2 linked regions of the Danio rerio genome follow. The protein of the gene in region 2 interacts with the protein of the main gene of each other region in a pairwise test. Links are inferred from orthologs where the notes say so. Each region holds a gene or a part of one and is shown on either strand. Other genes may lie near its edges.

What was found.
Region 1: the proteins of phf1 (region 2) and tfcp2 interact in binary tests that used the Homo sapiens proteins (3 or more experiments, as listed by UniProt). The two-hybrid records come from large-scale screens. The link is inferred for Danio rerio from reciprocal best matches to the Homo sapiens genes PHF1 and TFCP2.

What each region holds. Positions count from the first base shown.
Region 1 is NC_133198.1:36,622,878-36,630,764, forward strand, and holds part of tfcp2 (alpha-globin transcription factor CP2), read right to left. Parts: intron 5,747-7,887; coding exon 5,692-5,746; intron 3,015-5,691; coding exon 2,973-3,014; intron 2,721-2,972; coding exon 2,627-2,720; intron 2,390-2,626; coding exon 2,299-2,389; intron 188-2,298; coding exon 81-187; intron 1-80.
Region 2 is NC_133191.1:49,885,225-49,893,653, reverse strand, and holds the start of phf1 (PHD finger protein 1), read right to left. Parts: upstream 5,349-8,429; 5' UTR 5,031-5,348; intron 4,658-5,030; 5' UTR 4,657-4,657; coding exon 4,579-4,656; intron 4,453-4,578; coding exon 4,371-4,452; intron 1-4,370. UniProt on the Homo sapiens protein: Polycomb group (PcG) that specifically binds histone H3 trimethylated at 'Lys-36' (H3K36me3) and recruits the PRC2 complex. Involved in DNA damage response and is recruited at double-strand breaks (DSBs).

The DNA.
Region 1 (7,887 bases), on a different chromosome or scaffold from region 2:
ATCCTGACTACCTAATAAAATTTTAAACAGAAATGTAATTTAATTTCATTTGATTTTGAAACAGCTGATTTCAAACACACCAAAAAAAGTGTTGTTAGTCCCGTCTCCGTTCTCATGTTTCTGGTGCTGTTCACGAGCCTGTTGGGATTCCTGGCAAACATAGATTGTGAGCCTTGGACGGACAACCCTATTAAGAAAAAACAATGCAATTAATGTAACTGATAAATGTGACAGGTACAGTGCTCAGCATAATGGAGTATATCCCATTTTGAAAATGAATATTTGTAATCATTTCTCAGTGAATATAGGCATTGTCTGTTGGTGCATTTAAACAAAACAGAATAAACAGATATATTTATTAAAATAATATTTTAGTCACCAAACATATTTAGAAATCAAAAGATAATACAATTAAATTCAAGCAAAATATTGCTACATTTAAAAAAATGTAACTACATTTTTCCAATTATTCATTTATTTATTTATTTATGCTTCTCTTGTTTTTTTTTTCTCTCTTTTTTTTAAATTTGCATTTAATACTTTTAGATAACATATAAATTTGGGTGTACTAACTTTTGGACCGTTTTCGCAAGTTATTTTGTTAGATAAGCTCCAGATTTGGCTTCAGTAAAGACAAATCTATTTGAACAAATAAAATTTTGTAAAGTTTTCTCTTAAAAATATTAATTTAAAAGAGAGATTCATGAGGGGTGTACTTATATATGCTGAGCACTGTATAACACTTAGACTGTTACAAACATATTTCAAATAAAAAACTTTCAAGGCTAAAGTTTTTAAAGCTTTTTTATTATTTAAAGATTAAGATTTTATATTGTTTCCTAAGCATCAAACCAACAAATGATTACTGAAAAAAATGAACATATAAAAAAAAAAAAAAAAATGAATTTAAAAAGTGACAAAATTACTTTAACAAGAAAGCAGCAATTAAAGCCTAACAGAAATATTTATTTTTGCCCATTTGTCCCTAAGTTTCTTTTTCTTTGCTTTACCTTATATACAGTATATAATGTTAAAAACATTTTTAAAGGCTGATTATTACGATATATATTGATTAAAAACATTGCAACTTGTATTGACCTCTTTAGCTAGTGTTTTATCACGTTACAATCCATCACGCTGTTTAATGCAGTAAAATGTGGAATTATCATAACAACTCAGACTGCAAAGTAAACAACACACAGTAAAAGATTTCCTGCAGAACCTACAGTAACTTTCTGACAGCAGTTCGCCAGTAACTTACTATAAATCAGTTACAGTAAAAATACGGTATTCACATTTTCAGCACCATTAACTTGCTGTATATGCATTTACAGTATTGTACTGTGTAATTCTTTTTTTAATCGTTAACAAAGCAGCATTGCTGGTAAGATTCAAAGCAATTCTAATCTACAGGAATAGTTGAAGTCAGAAATATTAGCTCGTTTTTTTTCCTCCAATTTCTGTTTAACAAAGAGAAGATTTTTTTTCAACATTTCTAAACATAACAATTTTAAAAACTCAAGTCGACTAACTGATTTATTTTATCTTTGCCATGATGACAGTAAATAATATTTAACTAGATATTTTTCAAGACACTTCTATACAGCTTGAAGCGACATTTAAAGGCTAACCTACAATAGTTAGCTTAACTAGGCAGGTTACGATAATTAGGCAAGTTATTGTACAACGATGGTTTATTCTGTAGACTATCGAAAACTAATATAGCTTAAAGGGGCTAATAATTTGACCTTAAAATGTTTATTTTTTAAATAATAATTTCTTTTATTCTAGCCGAACAGCAACTAATAAGTTGATAAGTTTAAAACAAATAACATTTTCTCCAGAGGAAAAAATATTATCAGACATCCTGTAAAAATTTCCTTGCTCTGTTAAACATAATTTGGGAAATATTTTGGGAAAGAAAAGAAAATTCAAAGGGGGCTAATAATTCTGACATCAACTGTATGTTGTAACAGTTTAGTCGCTGCCTGTTTTATTTATTTATTTATTTATTATTATTTTTTTATTCTTTAAAAATTAAGATTATATGGTGTTTCCTACGGACCAAATCAACACAGTGATTTCTGAAAGATAATTTGAAAATAAAGCTAGAATTATTTGCTGAAAATTAAAAACAAATACAACTTATAAACAATTAATACAAGTTAACATAACTTAATATTGCCGTTTTTACTGTATTTTTAATACAGTAATTTCAGACAAAATCCTTCTCTCTTTTCAATAATCTACATTTTTTATTGACGTATAAATATGGCGTGTATGATGACAAACTCTTACCGTCCTTTAAGTGCATTAAATAGCCGAATGCCATCAGCAGGTCCACAGATCTGAATGACGTCCTCTCGGGTCAGTTTTAGCAGATCAGCCCCTGAGGAACAGGACAGTCACCACACTCGCACTAGGACTTTTTCAGACCACACTAAAGGTAATATGGAATATAGTACATTACTTTCTGAGCACATTATGATAACAGAATGAGACTGGAGAGCATGTGTCTTCTTAATGAGTGTGATGTGGCACTGTATGGTAGCTGAGTGAGCAAAGCCTGATGTGAGAGCTGTATGGGATGTGATGCACACTTATGCAAGCCCGATCGTCCCTTTACCCGAGAAGTTTGTGAAGAGACGGCAGAATGGTGAAAAACGGTTTCTATGGAGCCACTGCTGTGCTTCTTGTGGCGTTGCCGTGGGCAACAGATTCTGTTTGTTCAGGGGCAAAAAGAAAGGACAGAATAGGCCTTAGCACACTGACCATAAACGGATCATAATTTGTCTCCTTTTCCATTGAACAATCCCTCCAATGAAGTCAATCAAAGCCCCTTAAACTGTCTGGCCTTGAGTTGAACCCACTTCCATGTTTAAGAATAAAACTTGAAATCTTTTGCACACCAAGCTTTACCTTTGGCACATACACAATTCAACATATTCATATTAGCAAATAAATTCATGTACCTGATTGCTTTCACTTTCTCTTCTAAGTAGATGGCACGACAACTGTAAGGCAGAACGTCTCTCAGTTTTAAAATCTCAGATTTGTCTTGAGTGTTATCAATTTGTTATGAGGAAGCATGACTGGTGACTAACGGGGCTTACAGGTTACGAACAAACAAAAACAACACTGGGCTGAAACCTCATAACATCAATCTAGAACAGGGGTTCTCAAACTCAGTCCTGGTGGGCTAGTGTCCTTCAGATTTTAGCTCCATCTTGCCCCAACATACCTGCAATGATGTTTCTAGAAAGCCTAGTAAGAGTTTGATTAGCTAGCCCAGGTGTGTCTGATTGAGATTAGAACTAAACTTTGCAGGACACCGGCAATGCAGGATTGAGTTTTGACACCCCTGGTCAACAAGCTAACATAAAATAATCTCATTTTTAAGCTATTTTAAGTCAGTTTCAACAAACAAGCATAAGGAGGCATGAAAAAAATCATATCAAATGATATCAAATATATTTGCTAAAGAAAAAAATATGCTAAACCAATCAATTGCTCTAGATCAGGTTCATTTAAGGGTTTTTACATCTAATCTGTTCCCTTTATACACACTACTGTTCAAAAGTTTGGGTTTTTTTAAATATTTTAAAGACATTTGTTATCCTCATCATAATTGCACTTTTAATTATGATGGCAATTTGATCAATAACTGTTTTTAATACAATTTTAATGGCAAACTGTGATATGAAAGCTTAGAATTAGGCATTTTTGCATCATTGCTCTACTGTTGTCTAACAAAATGCTTCAGGAAGAAGTCTAATTTGGTGCTCAAAAAAACATTTTTATAATTGTCATTCTAAAAGTCCATTATTTATCAGGGGTTGCCACAATGGAATGAATCACCAACTAATGTACCAGCATATGCCGGTATATGATTTTACGCAGCGGATACCCTTCCAGACATAACCCCAGTACTGGAAAACACCCATACACTCTCACTAGGGTTTCTGCAGGCTTCTTTAAGTCAAATGTAAAACTTTTTAAGACCCTTTTAGGACCATTATGAATGAAATTTTACACTTATACAGGGCTAAAGACTAAGATTATTTTTTTCTAATGGCCCTTCAGTAAATAGTTTTTGTATTAATGGAAGATTTTGTTAAGGAATGTGTTGCTTTAGTTTTCTTTCACTGCTTATGGAATTAAATTAGGAGAATTTGCAGTAAACATGTATAACAGCTGTTGTGATTTGTATCTCTTTGCAATAAAAACAAATATATATAAATTTTGAGATGGATTATTGGTGATTGGGTAGCTTTACTTGGACATAGGAAATGTTAAAGACCTTTTTAACATTATTTAAAAGCTACAACAAAATATTAAAGACATTTTAAGAGTATAAGACCTCGTGGACACCCTGTTCACATACTATGCCAATTTAGCTTACCCAATTCACCTACTGTATAGCGCATGTTCTTGGACTGTGGGGATAACCAGAGAACCTGGAGGAAACCCACGCCAACACGGGGAAAACATGCAAACTCCACACAGAAATGCCAACAGACCCAGCTGTGACCCTAACCAGCAACCATTTTGCTGTGAAGCAACAGTGCTAACCACAGAGCCACCATGCTGCCTTTTTTAACATTTTATTATCACTAAAAAAAGCTGCTGTGAAGTTTATTAGCTTAGCGTAAACTGTGATGTGTTGTTTTGCCAAAAAGTTGAAAAGAACAGCATTTATTTCAAATAGAAATCTTTTATAACGTTATTGGTCGCATTTAATTCCATTGATACATCGTTTCTGAATAAATATAATTATTATTCTTTTAAAAACACATGAAAACCCAAACCTTTGAAACAGTAGAATAATATTTAACTAAATATTTAAGGACTTGGGCAGTGTAGTGTGATATATATATATATATATATATATATATATTTACATATACATATATATATATATATATATATATATATATATATATATTTACATATACATATATATATATATATATATATATATATATATATACATACACACTGTGTAACGATAGAAAATGCAATGCCATGGTATATCTGTGGCATGCAGATAACAAAACAAAAAAGAAAGAAAAATATAACAAAATTAATATATGTCCTAATACTTAACATACCACCCATTTTGCCCTATGTATTATATACTATTAGTTCTAACAAAAGCTACAAAGGGCACTACATGCTTTGAAATGTGCTAATGAGCATGCAAAGCAACCAAAAAAGCATTCTACAGAATTAATCATAGCAGCTGCCATATTATGAATGGAACAAAGGGTTTTTGATGAACTACTGTAGTTGTCCTGATATTATTAATGTAGATGGAAGCATGGAGCATACCTTATACACAAATACACACACAGCACTACACCTAATTACCATTTCATTCCCAAAACAGCTCAACTACTTAACGAGTGAAGCCAGTATTATTAAATATGAACTAAATCAAACACAAATGCAAATGGAACACAGATAAGAAGCACAAACATAATATTTAAATTAAAGGATAGCATGTAGAATGCAGAAATGTAGGAAAAGAAACATAAGGGAACACTGGGATGCATCTATATTTTGGTTAAAGTCCTAGGCAGTTTGCCTTTCATTTCTCAATGTACATACATTTGTTAAATGATTGTTATTTTATGCCACTGTGAGCAGTGGATATCAGATATGAGAGAGGAAGAAAAAAAATACACATACACTCACATCCGCTAACTGTGCGACAGGCTCTGGCTGGTGACTGGGTGAACCATTTCTGCAAGACAAAACTATGAGTCATTATGGCCATACATAAACATTTAATTATTGCATGTTGCTCCAAAAAAGATAAATGTTTTCATAGTCTATAAAACGATCTATAACCAGGGCTGCATGATACTGGAAAGATCGGATATTACGGTATTTTATTTTTCTGCGATAAATACGTTATTAATGCAGCTTCACACAATAGCTCTATCTGATGGTTTTCTAGGGAGTCTAAGAGTTTTCGGTTACAGAAATCGAATAACCACGAAGCAAAAATTGCTTTTCTTACTTTGTTTTGTCTAGTTTCTAGTTCAAATATAAAAAAAAATCTTGGACCAAGTGAAATATTGGGTAACACTTTATAATAACTGCACACTATGAATCATATACTAAGCATTAGCATCTAGTGAATTCATTATTTGTTAAGCATTAAGCCTGATTTATACTTCTGCGTCAGGTGACCGGCGTAACCCACGGCGCAGGCAACGCGCGTGGCTGTGCATTTATACTTCTGCGCGCTGTCTCTGTCGGTCTGCATTAACACTTCCGAAACGCTAGTTGGCAGTGAGGTGTAAATGTTCCTCTGTGTCGAGTTTCTTCTCTGCTTTTTTGCTTTTCCTGAACACTTCCGGGATGTACAAGTGGCTCAAACTCGCTCATTTTGAGGCAGGAACCGGCGGACGTGCAACAACTTTAACTATGAGGTAAACACAAAACAAAACTTTCCATCCGGAGCTCCTTCACGGGACTCCACACTTGTAAGCAATCGCTCGCGCAATTCGCGCGGCTCTCGGTCCCGCCCAGACTCGTCAGCGCTACCAAGCCGACCAATCACAGAGCTTACGCTACGCGTCGTTGCGACGTGTAGTTAAATTTTTTGAGAGGTGCACGTCAGTGACGGCGATGGCCACGGTGAAGGGCTATGCATCAGCGCCGTAGCATACGCCGACGTTTGACGCAGATGTATAAATCAGCCTTTAACTCCACATTAATGGACGTTAGTAAGCGGTTTATAACTGCAGCTACAAATGCTCTATTCTTGACTTACAAACATTTAAAATGTGCAATTTCATACTTAGTTAATGATTTGTTTTTATTACTAAATTAAGTATCGCACTATTTACAAACCAGTTGTATTAAGGAGTAGTTTAGGGTTTTTAGGAACATTCATTCTACACACAATACCCCATAATGACAATGTGAAAGTGTTGCAAACTTATTAAAAATAAAAAGACCTGGAAAATCACATGTACATAAGTATTTTCAGCCTTTGCTCAATACTTTGTTGATGCACATTTGGCAGCAATTACAGCCTCAAGTCTTTTTGAATATGCTGCCACAAGCTTGGCACACTGTCTTTGGGAATTTTTGTCCATTCTTCTTTGCAGTACCTCTCAAGCTCTATCAGGTTAAATAGAAAGTGATGGTGTACAGCCATTTTCAGATCTCTCCAGAGATCTTTAAATGGATTTAGGTCTGGACTCTGGCTGGGCCACTCAAGGACATTCACAGAGTTGTTGTAAAGCCACTCCATAGATATTTTAGCAGTGTGCGTTGGTTCATTGTCCTGCCAGAAGATGAACCGTCACCCCGGTTTGATGTCCAAAGCACTCTGAAGCAGGTTTCAATTCAGGATGTCTCTGTACATTGCTGCATTCATCTTTCCTACCATCCTGATTAGTCTTCCAGTTCCTGCTGCTAAAAAACATCCCCACTGCATGATGCTGCCACCACCATGCTTCACTGTAGGGATGGTATTAGCCTGGTGATGAGCGGTGTCTGGTTTTCTCCAACATAACCCCTGGCATTCACTCCAAAGAGTTCATTTTTGTCTCATCAGACCAGAGAATTTTCTTTCTTATGGTCTGAGAGTCCTTCAGATGCCTTTTGGCAAATTCCAGGCGTGGAGTGGCTTCCGTCTGACCACTCTACCATACAGGCCTGATTGGTGGATTGCTGCACAGATGGTTGTCCTTCTGTAAGGTTTTTCTGTAACCTCTCTTAGCCTTGTGCCTTGAGACAATCCTGTCTCGGAGGTCTACAGACAATTCCTTTGTCTTCATGCTTGGTTTGTGCTTTGACATGCACTGTCAACCCTGGGACCTTATAGAGACAGGTGTATGCCTTTTCAAATCATGTCCAATCAACTGA
Region 2 (8,429 bases):
GATGACAACATTACAAAACCACCTTTTTATATATTTAGATGCAGACCCCCCCCCATCAAACAATCTTATTAATGCAAAATATAATATAACAAATAAAATATAATTTAATAGCATTTAGTATATGCATCATAATGGTTTTTGTACTGTGTTTTCTTTTATGTTGGTAAATAAATGGTAAATTTAATTTTAGTACTAATTTCCACTGTTAAATATATAGTTTATTACCTGCTTATTATTAAAATATTGGCTGTTTGTTGTTACTTATAACTAGGCCCACACAAAATCTGTGCACACAGAATTCCGTAGATTTTTAGCCCATTATTGATTCTGTTTATTTACTTGTGTAAATGAGTGTAAATTTATATTTATTCAGTTTTTATTTTAATTTCAGTAATTTTATTGGCTAATATGAAAATGTTCATATGATTTATTTACAGTATAGTTTGTAAAGTCATATGTTCTGTCTTTTAGTAGATATATTATATGAGAGACTTGCTTTGTTTATCAAATATAGTGGATCTAATTGTAAACACTGAATAAAAGTTAAAAAGGTATCACTTTTTATTTTATATATTAAGGTTTTAGTTATGAAACCAAAATAATTCTGCATTAATCTGCAGATTTTTAACAAAATTCTGTGCAGAAATAGCAAAAAATGTCCGCAGATTCCATCTGGCCCTACGAATGATCTTATTCTGTCCACAATCTTACCCAGTACTTGAACCCAACTATTAATAAGGAGCTAATTGGTTTTTAATTGAGCTAAAAGTAGTTTTAGTTGATGTGTAATGTTAGTTGATGTGTGTTAACAGCAGTAATTGTACGTTTAAATAAATGATGATCAATTAAATATACTTTTTTTTTTAAAAATAAAGTAAAAATCAACGAGAATTACCAAAATTTTGCAAAATAGAAAATAAGTCTATCAACTAATAGGCAACATGGTGGCTAAGTGGTTAGCACTGTCGTCGTCTCACAGCAAGAAGGCTGTGGTATTTCTTGGTGTGGAGTTTGCATGTTCTCCCTGTGTTGGCGTGGGTTTCCTCTGGATGCACCAGTTTCCCCCACAGTCCAAAGACATGCGCTATAGGTGAGTTAAATCACCTGAATTGGCCATAGTGTATGAGTGTGTGTGTGTGAATGTGAGAGTGTTTGGGTGTTTCCCAGTACTGAGTTGCGGCTGAAAAGCATGCGCTGTGTAAAACATGTGCTGGAATAGTTGGAGGTTCATTTTGCTGTGGCGACCCCTGATAAATAAGGAACTAAGCTGAAAAAAAATGAATGAATGAATGAATGAATGAATGAATGAATGAATAAATGAATGAATGAATGAATGAATGAATGAATGTGTGAAATAAACAACAACAGTCCTAAAATAATCTCGGGTTCTGTATGTGAAGCATAAAATATATATAAAATAAATATATATCAAATGCATTATATTTTTTCCTTATATTCTGGATCCCAGCGGGAACATTGATGTTAAAATAACATCAAAAAGCTTGTCAAAATGCAAATCGATTTGACGTCAATTGATCTCAAAATCTTGACAAATTGACATCTAACATTGGCGTCAAAAGATTTTTTTATGTGTATTTTGACACCAAAGTTATTGTTAATTTGATGTTGTTTTGACATCAAGGCAGTTTACATGCATCGGGAATACAAAATCCAGTGTAAATTTTGTAATGTTTAATAAAAACTTTTAAATGAATAACATTTTTCCTAAATTATAATACAAAGTTATAATACAAATCCAAAGGTATTATATTTATTTATATATATGTATGCATATATATATATATATGTGTGTGTGTGTGTGTGTGTGTGTATATAGTTAAAGTCAGAATTATTAGACAGACAATTATTATGACAGTAAATAATATTTCACTAGATATTTTTCAAGACACTTCTATACAGCTTAAAGTGCCATTTAAAGGCTTAACTAGGTTAATTAGGTAAACTAGACGAGTTAGGGTAATTAGGCAAGTTATTGTATAATGAAGGTTTGTTCTGTAGATTATCAAGGAAAAAATTAGCTCAAAGGGGATAATAATTTTGTCCCTAAAACAGTGTTGAAAAAAGTTTTAAAAAACTGCTTTTTTTCTAGCCAAAATAAAACAAAAAAGACTTTTTCCAGAAGAAAAAATATCAGACATACTGTGAAAATTGTCTTGCTCTGTTAAACATCATTTGAGAAATATTTAAAAAAAAGAAGAAAAAAATTCTAAAGGGCTAATTATTCTGACTTCAACAGTATATATTTTTTTTCTCTCTCATAGTATTTTGCAATACTCTTTTTTTAATCTCTTTTTTTCCTTACACCTGTTATGTTTTTGCTTCATTCTCATTTGTGTTTTTGCAATTCTTGCAATGTTCCTGGATATAGCATATATTTGAATTTGTATTATTACTTAATGTAATGTTTCAAAGCTTATAAAAATATTTTATAAGCTTTGAAACATTACATTATTTATTTATTATATATATTATTATTTTTATAAATATAAAAAAATAAAAAAATGACATCAAGGCAGTTTACATGAATTGTAGGGTTCAGGGGTGGACTTAGTGATTTGGGGGCCTAAGCAATTCCAGGTATGTGGCCCAAGCACTGAAACTTAAAACATTCTCTCTCTCTCTCTCTCTCTCTCTCTCTCTCTCTCTCTCTCTCTCTCTCTCTCTCTCTCTCTCTCTCTCTCTCTATATATATATATATATATATATATATATATATATATATATATATTCTCTTTAGATTAGTTTTTTTAATAAATAAATAAACAGCATGTTAAAAATATATATTTAAAGTAAATTTGATGTATTTTAATATTTAAAGGAAACTTTATTTTCTTATTGTCAAATTAAATGCAATAAATTCACCAAATAAACTAAGTACATTTAATTAGCCATTTTTGTGATTAGATTTTATTACAAATTAAAAAAACATTTAAACAAAATTTATTCACAATCCATCAAACTAATCTTGTCACCATTTTTCCCATAATCTTGAATAATTGCTGTTTGTGAATTGTCGGTCATTACTTTTCACTGGGAAATGTTATTTTTGTCGAAGGTTGCTAGTTTGAGCCTCGGCTGGGTCAGTTGGCATTTCTGTGTGAAGTTTGCATGTTCTTCCCGTGTTCGTGTGGGTTTCCTCCAAAAACATGTAGTATAGGTGAATTGAAAAAGCTAAGTTGTCCGTAGTGTATGTATGTGAATGGAAGTGGGTGTTTCCCAGAGATGGGTTGCAGCTGGAAGGGCGTCTGCAGTGTAAAACAAATGCTGGATAGGTTGGCAGTTCATTCCGCTGTGGCAACCCCAGATTAATAAAGGGACTAAGCCAAAAAGAAAATGAATGAATGAATGTTCCTTTACTTTTCATTGGGAAATGTTATTTATTTGAACAGATCCTCTCTTGACAAGCTCACAGCGCTCATCATCTGACAGGTGTTTCGGCCATCGTTTGTCTTATTTCTACTTTTGTCCCCCAAATGTTCTCAAAATGTTCTTCACTTTTGCTCTACTCAGATCACTGGCAGGCTGACAGTCTTTGAACTGATCACACCTCACCTATGGGCAGTACGTTCCACTATTCATGGGGGCCCCTGGTTTTAAAGTGGGTACCACGTTCGCCTCACAGCAAAAAGATCGCTGTTTCGAGCCTCGGCTGGGTCAGTCGGCATTTCTGTGTGGAGTTTGTATGTTCTCCCCGAGTTCATGTGGGTGTTTGCCGGCTCCTCCCCCACATGTCCAAAGACACATGGTAAAGGGGAATTGGGTGAGCTAAATTGGCCGTAGGGTATGTGTGTGAATGAGTGTGTATGGATGTTTCCCAGGGATGGGTTGCAGCTGGAAGGGCATCCGCTGCGTAAAAAATGCTGGATAAGTTGGCGGTTCATTCCGCTGTGGCAAACCCAGACTAATAAAGGAACTAAGTCGAAAAGAAAACGAATGAATGATAGAAAATTTACAAGAGAGCTATACTGTATGTTGAATATAGGGTTCTTGACATTGATTGGGGCCCCCTAATTCCCTGGGGCCCTAAGCAACTGCTTACCTCGCTTATAGGTTAAATCCACCCATGGTAGGGAAAAAATTAAAAGTATAAATTTTGTAATTTTGTTCTTAAGCTTTCAAATAAATAAAACGTTTAATATATTACTTTTGGTGTTTTTAATTTGGTGGCAAAGAGCATCAGTGTGTGGATGTCAAGCGGATGGCAAGATTTGGACATCAAGTCGATTTGCAATTTGAATGCGTTTTTTGACATTATACTTGATGTCTATTGGATGTCGTTTTGACATCAAGCTGCTCACCGAGATGTTTACGCTTAGTTTTTGACTTAAAATTCAGAGTTTTAAACTCACACGAGTGGATGTCTTTCCTGAGGACCCAGAATTCAGAGTTATCCTCAAATCTGATCAAACAGCACTGCTTGACACTGTCCACCTGCAAGACGAACACATCCCAAACAACACCACACTCATTTTCACAAGTACAAGTCGCAGTTTTCAAAACTTGCTTTTTCATCCTCTCCACCGGCTCCCTCCTCCGAACAAACTTGGAGAAACTTACTCGTTTGACATTGCCGAGATATAAAAGTCCATCGCTCCACCTGGCCAAAACATCCTCTCCTTCACTGACTCCCCCCATCCTGAAGAGAGCGGGAAAGAAGAGCGCACAAAACATCCAGAGGCTTTCAAATCAAGTAGCAAACAGCAGCAGCCTAAAGGGTTAAACTCTGTGCATAGCGACAGTATACAGTACAGTAGGATAAATGATGAAGAGTCAATGCACATTGCAGTGCCACACATGATCAAAAAGAAAAAAGAAGGGGGAAAAAAACACTGGCTGCTTTATGCAACCGACCGTAATGCATATGCAGATGCCACAACAATGCATGCAAAACGCGCGGCCAGATGTGCACTAATCAATGCGCGCAACTCAGGAGAGCTGACACACATGACGGCGCGCGCACGCACATATCAATTAACACGCATGGCAGATCATACGTGCACGGGATGTACCTGTGTGGAGTGATCGGCTCTGCTGGGGTCACAGAGACGGGGAAGAGATGTCAGTCTCACATGAAACGCCTGATGGTGACCGGTGTTGTTCTGCGTCTCAATCACTGTCCCGAATAATCGGCGCGTTTTGGAGAGTCGCGGCGGATCAAACGCGCGTCAGTGCGCAACCGTCTGTCCGTCCGTCCGTCTCTCTCTCTCTCTGTCCGTCTTCATGTCTCTCGGTTTGATGCTTTCAAGCGTGTGCTCGTCAGGAGATTCAGCCCGAGAGAGACGCCATCATCATCATCTCTGCCTCTCTCTCTTTCTCTCTCGCTCTCCTTCGACTTGTTGTGACGCAGACATAAAACACAGGGAGATGGAGAGGGAGGGAGATCCGGAGAACACCTTCACATCTGTGCGACTGACCGACTTCCCACCGGACTGAAAGCCGGCACGACCACCGCCTGCGCCCCTACAGCCCGCGATAGGAGCCCGGCCGGTGCCGCTCGCGCTCACAGCCTCATTAGGGAAAGTTTGACGGGGTAATTAGTCCGGCAGAGCCACGCCGTGGACTTTCTGGAGAAAGTTTGAAAATGCCCTTGGGTGCCGGCTGGAAAAAAAAGTAAAGAAAAAAGAGGCAAAGCTGCTGCGCGCAAAAAAAGAATAGAAAAAGAAGTTTAAAAACAATGTTTTGACTTATATATATAAAAAATAAAGAAATATAACCGCAATATTATTATCATAAATTAGAAAAAGGGCTAACGCCCAAAAAAAGAAAACAGATTTTTCTTATTCCATATTAGATAATGCAGTTACAGGATTATTATGATCATAACTTAAAAATGAGTGTAATGCAAGACAATAATAATAACAATCGAAAAATACAATAAATTACCACTTTATGACGATTGCATTATTAATCAGTTTTGAATAAATTATGTTTACACTTATATTTTCATATAATTATATACCGTCATTTTATTTTGTTTATTAATAATATTTTATTACAATATAAGTTATACATTTATGAAAAACATTACTCTGGCTATTCATAATGTACATAAATTTACATTTTATTAAATTATTTAATATACATTTCTCATATTGAGTAGATCAGTAGGTTATTAATGCTCAGACATGAGTTCTTTTTAGCGCTTTTCCAAAAATGTATTAATAAAATAAATCATTAATAATTTTAATAATAATAGTGTGTGTTCACTATCTATCTATTCATTATATTATCTATCTTAAATCCTGGTTGCCTCAATTTTTAAGCTGAATCAGATTAACCTTATGAGTCCGCTGAATTTATATGTTAAACTGACTTAAAACAGCTTCTGTAACTTATGAAATTTAGTTAGAACATGATTACCTTAGTTTAATAAGTTACAATGACCTAAAATATATGCTGTCATGACATATTGATCATATTTTACAGTGTACAGTGCTCAGCATAATTTAATAATATTTGATTAATTTCTCAATGGATATAGGCAATTATTTTGGTGCATTTAAAAAAACAGATTTATTAAACATATATTTATTAAAACAATATTTTAGTCACCAAACATATTTAGAAATTGAAAGATAATACAATTAAATTCAAGCTAAATATTGCAAAGTTTCAACTCTACTTTTTTTTTTTGTATTTGTTGTTTTGATTTTTCTTCTTTTAAATTTGTATACATATACATTTGGGTGTACTAGTTTTTGGACCGTTATCGTAAGTTATTTTGTTAGATAGACTCCAGATTTGGCTTCAGTAATGTACACTCTCAGAAATAAAGGTACAAAAGCTGTCACTGGGGTGGTCCCTTAACAAAAAATACAAATCTGTACCTTAAAGGTCCATATTAATACTTCAACGGTGCATATTAGTACCTAAAAAGTACAAAAGTGTTCCTCTTAAAATTTGTAGGTACTAATACTTTTAAGGTACCAATATGGACCCTTCAAGTACAAATGTGTACCTTTTGAAAAGGTACCACCCCAGTGACAGCTCTTGTACCTTTATTTCCGAGAGTGTATATCATATGCACAAATATAATATTGCATAGCTTCCTGTTCAAAATATGAATTTAAAAGATCTGTGAGGGGCATGTCCAAAAGACCTGTGGTACAGTGTATGAGTGTGTGTGTGTGTGTGTGTGTGTGTGTGTGTGTGTGTGTGTGTGTGTGTGTGTGTGTGTGTGTGTGTGTGTGTGTGTGAGAGTGAGTGTATATGAATGTTTCCCAGTGATGGGTTGCAGCTGAAAAGGCATCTGCTGCGTAAAACATATGCTGGATAAGTTGGCGGTTCATTCCGCTGTGGCAACCCCAGATTAATAAAGGGACAAAGCCAAAAATAAATGAATGAAGGATTTGTGAGGAGTGTACTTATATATGCTGAGTACTATGTGTGTATTATTTATTGTATACACACATACTTCCTCTCATTTGTAGTTATACAACAACATCTATTGTTGTAATCAATCTAACAATCAATATTGTTGTAAATAATCTAACTACAATAAAAATAACAATTTATTTTGGCTTAAACCTTTATTAATTACACATTAATATTAATAAAGATTTTATTACAACTTTATTAATTACACATTAACAATAACAAAGGCTGTATTACAACTTTATTAATTACACATTAATATTAATAAAGGTTTAAACCCACCTTTATTAACTACACATTAATATTAATAAAGGTTTTATTACAACTTTATTAATTACACATTAATATTAATAAAGGTTTAAACCCACCTTTATTAATTACACATTAATATTAATAAAGGTTTTATTACAACTTTATTAATTACACATTAATAATATTAAAGATTTTATTACACCTTTATTAATTACACATTTACAATAACAAAGGTTGTATTACAAATTTATTAATTACCCATTAATATTAATAAAGGTTTTAACCCACCTTTATTAATTACACATTTATATTAATAAAGGTTTTATTACACCTTTATTAATTATTACACCTTTATTACATCTTTATTAATCACATACTTATACTAAAACTATATTATCAATGCACTTCTATAACTTTTTTCCAGTATGCAGGCGAAATAACCATCTAAATATCTTTTGCTTTACATTTTCATCATCTTGAAGACAAACTTTGAAGTGTGTAATTGTGTTACAACACCCACACAAGCAGCGCGCGCACACACGGTAGGTGAAATCTAGCCAAAATCTTGAGATATCAAGCACAACACTGTAAGACTCCTATTACGAGAACAGTAGTGCTGGAATGTTCAAAATGGCCCCTGGCGTGTCTTTTTTATCCTGAAAGCAGATTTTGGAAAGAGTCCAGCAGAGGGCGCAAAAGATGGGAAGTGCAAACAGAGTTTTACTGAATTACAGAATCTGCATTAAGAAGCTTTTAGATTCTTGCTAACTTAGTGATTATTC